2 linked regions of the Diceros bicornis minor genome follow. The protein of the gene in region 2 purifies or fractionates together with the protein of the main gene of each other region. This does not show direct contact. Links are inferred from orthologs where the notes say so. Each region holds a gene or a part of one and is shown on either strand. Other genes may lie near its edges.

What was found.
Region 1: the proteins of GID4 (region 2) and RMND5A purify together in Homo sapiens (affinity purification with mass spectrometry; 4 studies listed by BioGRID and IntAct, counting the BioPlex papers as one, with this or other methods). This does not show direct contact. The link is inferred for Diceros bicornis minor from reciprocal best matches to the Homo sapiens genes GID4 and RMND5A.

What each region holds. Positions count from the first base shown.
Region 1 is NC_080751.1:3,339,274-3,343,178, forward strand, and holds the start of RMND5A (E3 ubiquitin-protein transferase RMND5A), read right to left. Parts: upstream 2,602-3,905; 5' UTR 2,421-2,601; coding exon 2,279-2,420; intron 1-2,278.
Region 2 is NC_080757.1:1,437,418-1,441,322, reverse strand, and holds the start of GID4 (glucose-induced degradation protein 4 homolog), read right to left. Parts: upstream 3,057-3,905; 5' UTR 2,894-3,056; coding exon 2,705-2,893; intron 1-2,704. Other genes in the region: ATPAF2 (ATP synthase mitochondrial F1 complex assembly factor 2), read left to right, coding at 3,529-3,661.

The sequences.
Region 1 (3,905 bases), on a different chromosome or scaffold from region 2:
TAGTCACTTAATCCTATTATTAAAGAATTAAAGAGAATCAAAAAGATACCAGTATAAGACTGCAATTTGGTAGAGAAGAGGTTGAAAGGGGAACACATACAATTCACCTAGTCAGACTGTTTGAACAGCATGGCTTACTGTGTGGCTAATACCCCCAGACCGTAAATTCCTTGAAAAGTTCCCAGGTGCCAAGCAAAGAGGTCTAAAACAAATCCCTACTTCAGCACGTTCTCGCATTTATTTTATCCATCTGAGATGGGCCCCAAATTCCCTAAAATGAGGCTCACTATCACATCCCCTTTCAATTAATATCCCCTCTCTCTCTCATGGAAGAAAGCTATTTTACTTTCCGTCTTCTCTCTCTCAAACTCTGCGCATACAACCCCTCAATCTCTAACCTGTTCCCTAAAAAGGAAATGTTCCTTCCACCTCTCCAAGTCTACACCCTTCACTCATTCTCTTCCTTTCAACCTTTAACAAGACAAAGATTTCCTCTCCAGTGGGGGGATGGGGGGAAGGGACACCTTCCACCTCTTACACCCCAGTCTGCATATTTTTCTTCTCAACTCCCAGTAATCTAGTTTATTTTAACAACTCTATGAAACTGCAAGCACAAAGGGTCACTGACTCTCTAAAGCCAAATACCAGTTGACCACTCTCTTTTTCTAAGCCCCTGCCCTTTTCTGTTTCTGCTGGCTCCTCGGTGGTCCTCCACCTCCAAGAGGAGTTCAAGATTGTGCTAAGACCCTACAGTCTTTCCTCCCTGCAGCCTAAGTGATGTCCTTCACTCTCCTCTGTAGAAATGACACCAGGAAACCATCTTAGACCTTACTTTTCTCCCAAACTCCATCTATGCATCTCCAGCAACCAACTAAGATTAAGCCCTTGACTCTATCTTCTTCAGCCCTTCAGTTTTATCTCCCATGTCCAAAATCAAATTCACCAGAGCTTTCCCAGGATTCCCACCCCATTTGCACTTCCCCTTCCCAGGCAGCCATCTAGCTCTGCTCATTTTACCATGTTAATATTTCAACTCCTTCCGCCACCATGGTTTGCTTCTTCCCCAAAGCTTAAAAGTGACTGCCATGTGTGGAATGAGACGTTATTAGACTCCCTTACCATGGACTAGCACTTACCTCGCCACTGACAGCAGTGCGGGAGAGGAAGGTGTAGGAGGAGGAGAGGAGACAAGCTCAGCTAGCACCACTGCCCTCATCTCACCTGCCACAAAGATCCGCATTTCACCCCAGGTACCAAACCTTCTCTTCATAAATTTCTTAGAAGGCCCCTCCAACGTCCTGAATAAATCTATTAAATAAAGTCCTTTACTTTTTGATCAGAAGGCATCATCACTGTGAATATTTTAATCTAAGGATCTCAGACCGTGAATGTTATCTAAAAAACCAAAACCAAAAACCCTTCCTATCCAGGTTCCACAAGTTAACTTTGGCAAAGTATCTGCCCCCAGGGCTTAGGATAACAATGAAATAATCTAGGTAAAACACCTTCTATAGAAAATTGGTTTTCTGAAAGGAAAACAAGTGAAAACTTGACCAGGTAAAGGAAGTAACTAACAACTTGTGCCACAATTTGCTTCCGGAAAGTTGCCTGTTCTTCCTGAGTCTCATCCCAAGCTACGCTAGGCAAACTGAACAGTCTGATCCAGCTAGTTTCCTCGGAATCATGTCAGTGCTGCTGCGGAGCTGAAGAAGAGCTGCTTCCAGACAGCAGTCAAACTATGAAGTCGCAGGAGCGGCTGTTCTGTCAACCCACAGCTAAGAATAACATTCGACTTTCTAATTATGAAAAAAAGAGTAAAAGTCAGTCTCCGAGCCAAGGATTATGCGGCAGGGGAGGATGAAGAGGCTTCCTGCACTGACGCTCTTATCACACAGACCCCTGAGTCCAACGCAAGTGGAGCACCTCCCGCCCGCGGGGACGCCGGGAGACCCCGGGGCCGAGCGGGGCCAGGGGGGGCGCCCAGTGCAGGAGAGCAGAGAATGCAGGTGCGGCGGCCCGGTCCCCACGCACGTCTATCCCGGCTGGAGCCCGCGGCGCCGGGACGGGTTTCCGCGTGGGTTCGCGCTCGCTCTTAATTAACGAGGTCGGGGCAGGTTCAAAGCAAATCGGGCGAAAAGAGGAGGAAAAGTCACAGGCGCCTGGGGGGGGTCTCCGCGCCTCGGGGGGGGGGGGGGGGTCCGGGCCCTCCGGATGCTCCCGCTGTGGCCTGACGGGCGCGGGCGGTGGGCCTGCCCCGCGCGCCCACCCGGGCCCCTACCGTGGCTCTGCAGGATCTCGTGCTTGAGGCCGCCGGTGTAGTCGATGAGCTCCTCCAGGCCGCGCTCGCACAGCTGCCCGTAGCCCGAGAACTTGTGCAGCACCTTCTCCAGCTCGCGCTCCACCGTCACGCACTGATCCATCCCGGAGGCGGCGGCGGCGGCGGCGCTCGGCTCCCCGGCGCCCGGGTGTCCGCAGCCGTTCGGCCCGGGCCCGGCCGAGGCCGCGTCCTGCTCCTCGTCCCCCAGGCGGGCGGCGCGGGCGGCTGAGGAGACCGAGGCGGCAGGCGCGCTAGCCGCGGCGCCGAGGGAGCCCCGCACAGCCCGTGCCCGCCTGCCCCATGGCGCCCCGGCCCCCGACGCGTCGCCGCACTCCTGCTCGCTCGTCCCCCACCCCGGCCCCGCGCTCCCGGCCCCTGCTCGTCGCGTTCAGCTGCCCGCGGCGGCGCCGCCGATTGTTTTTGTTTTCACGGGAACCGACCGATGACCTGGTTCTCCCGGGCGGCACCAAGCGCCGCCGACCCGAGGGGGGGCAGCCACCCCAGCGAGGGAAGGAGGCGGCGCGGGCCGTACCAAGAGCACCCTCGAGGGGGAGCAGCACGGCGAGCTCGGGCGGAGGAACGCGACGGTCGTCAGCTCTAAAGGTGTGGGCCGTACCACGCGGGAGGCGTGCAAGGGAGAGGGTGAGGGTGGAGCAACGACCCAATTGGCCCGAGGAGCTAAATAGGGAACTTTGGAGACAGCCCCAGCGCTCCGAGAGCCCTACGACTACGCGCTCCGTAAACAAGAGGGTGGAAACAGTCCCTAAACGCTCCGCCCCGAAACTGGGAAAATGAGCCAATGGGCGCGGGGAATAGTAAGGCACCGACGTTCTCCAATCCCTGGCCGAGGCGTAAACCTTCAGCCAATCCGGAACGAGGGGCCAAACCAATAGTCTCGCTGTTGGAGGGGTGCCTTAGAGAGCATATAGGGAAGCAAGTCATTTCTGGAAACACGTGAGGGAAAACGAGACAGAAGTACAAGGGTCTGTTTTCCATAGGACTTCGCTCTAGCCGTAAATTATTTGATCTCCCCATCACTCCTGGGGGTACTGTCATTCCGAAGTTTTGGAAGACTGACTCGCTGCCCCGGACGAAAAACCCAGCCGGGCCAGGCGGAGTGGGTGGTGCCGCTGTGGGGGTCGCCAACGAGAGTTAAAGGCGCGGGTGACTCGGGCGGGCTGAGGGAGCTGCTGGCTGGCGCGCGCCGGGAAGGGTTCTGGGCGGCTGTCAGTGCAGCCTGGATGCTTGCAACACCCGGAGGTCACACTCCCCACCCCCCCGTGGCCCTGGCCCTTTGGCCCCTGGGCCAGAAACCTCTCCTGACCGGTTGCCTCACCCCCGTGCCTTGTGCGGGCAGCTTCGCGGAACGCAAAGAACTTGCGTGGCCCCTGCCTCTTAGGCGCCCTACTCCATAGACTCGGATCGAGTTACCCCCTTTGCGTAACGCCTTGCCCTGACGTGGTGGGGCGCCTCCACCGTGGCCTGTATCTCCTTGCTCACTAAGCTTCAGCCTCACTACCCTTAGTTCCTCCAATGGCCAAGCTAGTTACTGCCTCAAGGCCTCTCTGCACTCGGCCTTCCCTCGGCC
Region 2 (3,905 bases):
CACAATGGACTATTATGCAACAATAAAAAGGAATGAAGCATTGACACATGCTGTGACATGGGTTGAACCTTAAAAACATTATACTCAGTGAAAGAAGCTAGACACAAAAGGTCACATATTGTATGATTCCATTTACATGAAATGTCCAGAATAAGCAAATCTTAGGACAAAAAAATCAGTGGTTGCATACGGTTGGAGGGGGGTGATGGCTAAGGGGTATAAGATTTCTTTTCGGGGTGATGAAAGTGTTCTAAAATTAGATTGCAGTGATGGTTTCACAACTGTGTGGATATACTAAAAACTACTGAATTGTACTCCTTAAATGGGTGAATTCTACGGTATGTGAATTATAACTCAATTAAGCTGATATGAAAAAAAGCAAGCTTGAAAGAGGCTGAGTTATAAAAGGCAGAAGTATTCTAGGAAGGTAGAGTCCAAGAAACTAGTCCTGGCTGAAAAACCAGATGATGGGGCAATTCACATGCCACTGACTTGTTTCAATGACTGACAAACAGCTCACCAATCCAGATGCAGCGCAGCATTCCTGGGCAGGACCACCCCCCGACCCGCCACAGACATCCTCCTCAAGTGGCTTCCAGCCATCGCCAGGTGTCTGCTCTGGGCTGCCCTGAGACATAGCAATCGTGCACCAACTCAATCACCGCTTCCACTGGCTCACAAGGAAACTGGCACCTGACAGGAATTCAGAAACAACACACTAATGACAGCAGTTGCCACAGTAACCAGAGCAGCCTTCTCTCTGACACTTAGCTACCATGCCAGTTGTCCCCCAACCACATCAGAAACCATCAAATTTAACAATGGGCACAAATTCAAGATCATTCCAAACACGACCACACCAGGGATCTCACTTGCAGAATTTTATAGTTACTTGAAAAAAAAAAAAAATCCTGTACTTTCATACTAAATTCTCACATTTTAAGCAAAAGGGATGGGGGATCACCACGTGAGGCCTACAATTACGAAGACAGAAATACCTCAGTCACAATAGTTTTTCACTTACAATAAATATCATGGCTCATAACAGAAGTGTAAGTTTATAGACCAAAGACACAATTAACATGAAGATGTAGTTTTCCCAGTCAAAAAAAGAGAAAAATATTTATTCCAACAAAACAGTAAGAAAAGAGAGGGTGATCAATGCTCTGCAGTTAGCAATAAGAAAATGCTCTCAGTCTTTTGGGTGGAAGATCTACTTGTTCAGAAGAGACGTTAAGATTTAAAACTTCAAAAGAGCAAAGGGCAAGCCTAAGGAAAAGACACATCCTACATTCTGTCCTCACATGGGAGCAGCAAGGCAGCAGAGTAGGACCTCAAAGCTTCTGTAAGGCCTTTCAAGGGGACAGCTGTTAGGACGGGCTTCTGGGAACAGCCTAGGAGATGGGGTGTCAGGCTAAGGATAAAGGCGCAGAGGGAGGGGGGAAGTGGGTCCTAAGGCAGGCAAGGGTAGGTAGAAAGGAGGAACAGTTTTGTAAGGAAGGGAGAGAAAAAGGAGCATTAACCACTGCCCATCTCCTTTGGCTGGGGAAAAAATGCCAAATGTGTTACCACTTGCATGAGAGGGATGAGGTGCAGGAAAGGGCCAGGGCAGGTGAAGCTGTAGTTCCAAAGCTATCAGGGGCTGGCAGCAGACACTCAGAGATCCAGGTCAAATCGGGGGAGGTGGATAGACATGAGAAGGAACTATCCATGTGAGAACTAAAACTGGGTGAGTTAGATTTCCAGTACATGGGTATCAGAGACTGGCAGGAAGCCTGGCTGTGTAGGTAAGGGTTAAGAACAGGGAAAGAGGGTCCCCTGGTGCCAAGAAAGGAGGAAGACGAAGGCATGGGGTGGGAAGATCTGGGTAGGCAGGCCAGGGAGACTGGGAGCAGACTGGAAGTGGCCAAAGAGGGGTAAGGAGTATGAGAAGCCTGGGGCAGGAGGCCTGGGTGTCCCAGCCAGGAAGAGACTGGAGCAGTAGGGGGTCCCATGACACAAGACCTAACATACTGTGAGGAGGCTCTCCCAGCAGCACCCAGGATGTGAGTGCCTGGTGTTGGGGGAGGGGGCACGAGCCAGGAATCAGTTGTAGGTTGTGGGCTCTCAGGGGCTAAAGGGGGTTGGGTGCTCCCAGATCTGAGGGGGCTGATTAAGCTTCGTCCCAAAGACGAAACCCTAGGAGGAGGAGGAGGAGGGCCCCAGAGCCTGAGGATTCCTGGGAGGGAGGAAAGGCGGCAAGGAGGCATGTCTCAGGTCTGGGAGAATCAGACATGGGCCTAGCCATGGGGAGGGTCCCGAGTCAGGAGAAATCAGTGGAGAGCTCCTCAAGATCTGAGAGGGAACGAGGGAGGGCCGATCTTTGGGCGACAGGTCATGGAGAGGAAGGACCCTGGTCTGAGGGTGGCGAGTCATAAGGGGCTTCCGGATCCCAGGCGGGCCGGTCACGGGCTTCATGTCTGGGACAGTGTTCAGGGTCTGCCAGGAGCTGCTCACGACAGGCTCCGGGTGTGAGGGGGCAGGTCAGGGTTGGGGTTCGAAGCGTGTGAGACACCAGCTGGGCAGGTCCGGGGGTGAAGCGCCGGGTGCGGGAGGCCCGGTGGCGAGGGCCTGGTCCGCGGCTGCGGGCTCGAGGAGCCGGGGGCGGGCACGGCCCGCGAGCGCCGCGAGGAGGCCCTCGGGCCCGGCCCGGCCCGGCGCTCACCTGCAGCACCACCTCTACGTCGTACGAGTTCCCCTTGCTCTTCTGGTGGCCGCGGAACTTGGAGCCGCTGTAAAGCAGGCTGGTGGCCACGCCGGGCTGCTGGGTGTTGATGGGCGGCGGCGGGATGAGCGAGGCCGCGGAGGCGGCCGAGGCACCGGCCGGCGGGGGACACTCGGTGCGGACCGGCATCGCGGGGTCCCCCGGAGCCAGGGCTGGGGGGAGGGGAGAGGAACCGCCGCCGGCGCGCGGGAGCCGCGGAGGGTGGCAGGGAGGGAGGGGCCGGGGCGCGCGCGCGCGCGTGGGGCTGGGGCGGGAGGGGGGAACCACCCGCCCGCTGCCTGCGGACCAAGCGCTCCGGCCGCCACCGGGACCCCGGGACCTGCTAGCAGGGCCTCCTGGTCCTGAGCCGAGTCCCCCTCCCCACTTGCCCTCGCACACACACCACCCCCTCCAATTGGCTCGAGCGCGCCGGGGGGGCGGGAGCAGGCTCACGCGGCGCTTCCACCCATTGGCGGGTGTAGAAAACACGTGGCGAGATGCGCGAGGGGCCCTCTGGGACTTGTAGTCTTCTTCCCGAGACGCGGCGTGGAGGGGGCGGGGCGAGGTGCGTTTGTGATGCTGATTGACTGGGGGTGTGCGCAGGATGCGCGCGCGAGCGACGGCGCGCCGTTGGTGTCATGCGGAAGATGGCGGCGTCCAGGGCAGGCTGAGGGTTCTGGGGCAGGCAGTGAGAGGTTTCCGTACAGCCGGAGCCTGCGGATCCCTTCGCTCTGTTTCCTGCTCTCAGGTTTCGCGCCTGTCGTCCTCCCAGGCCCTCGGGTGCGATGTGGAGGACCTGCCTCCGGCTGCGGGACGAGGGGCGCCGCCTCCTGAACGGGCCCCGGCGTGGCCTCATCGCCTCCGTGAGGCCGGGGCCAACCCCCCCGCCCCAAGCCCGGGCCTACGCACCCCCGACAGGTGAGGGAGGCCAGGGCACGTTCCCTTTTGGCCAGGGGCGAGCCGGGCTGAGAGGTTCGGCCGTGCAGGCAGAGGTAACCGAGTTAGGGGTCGGGCTCATGAGGTTACGCAGGTCAACAGGATCCTGTTACAGATCGGGAAAGAGAAGCCCAGGCCAGAGCAGGGACCACCCCAGGGCACAAAGCGCGTCCCGGCCGGAGTCAGTAATTGACATTTAGGAAGTGCGTCTTTTCTCAAAGCTTGT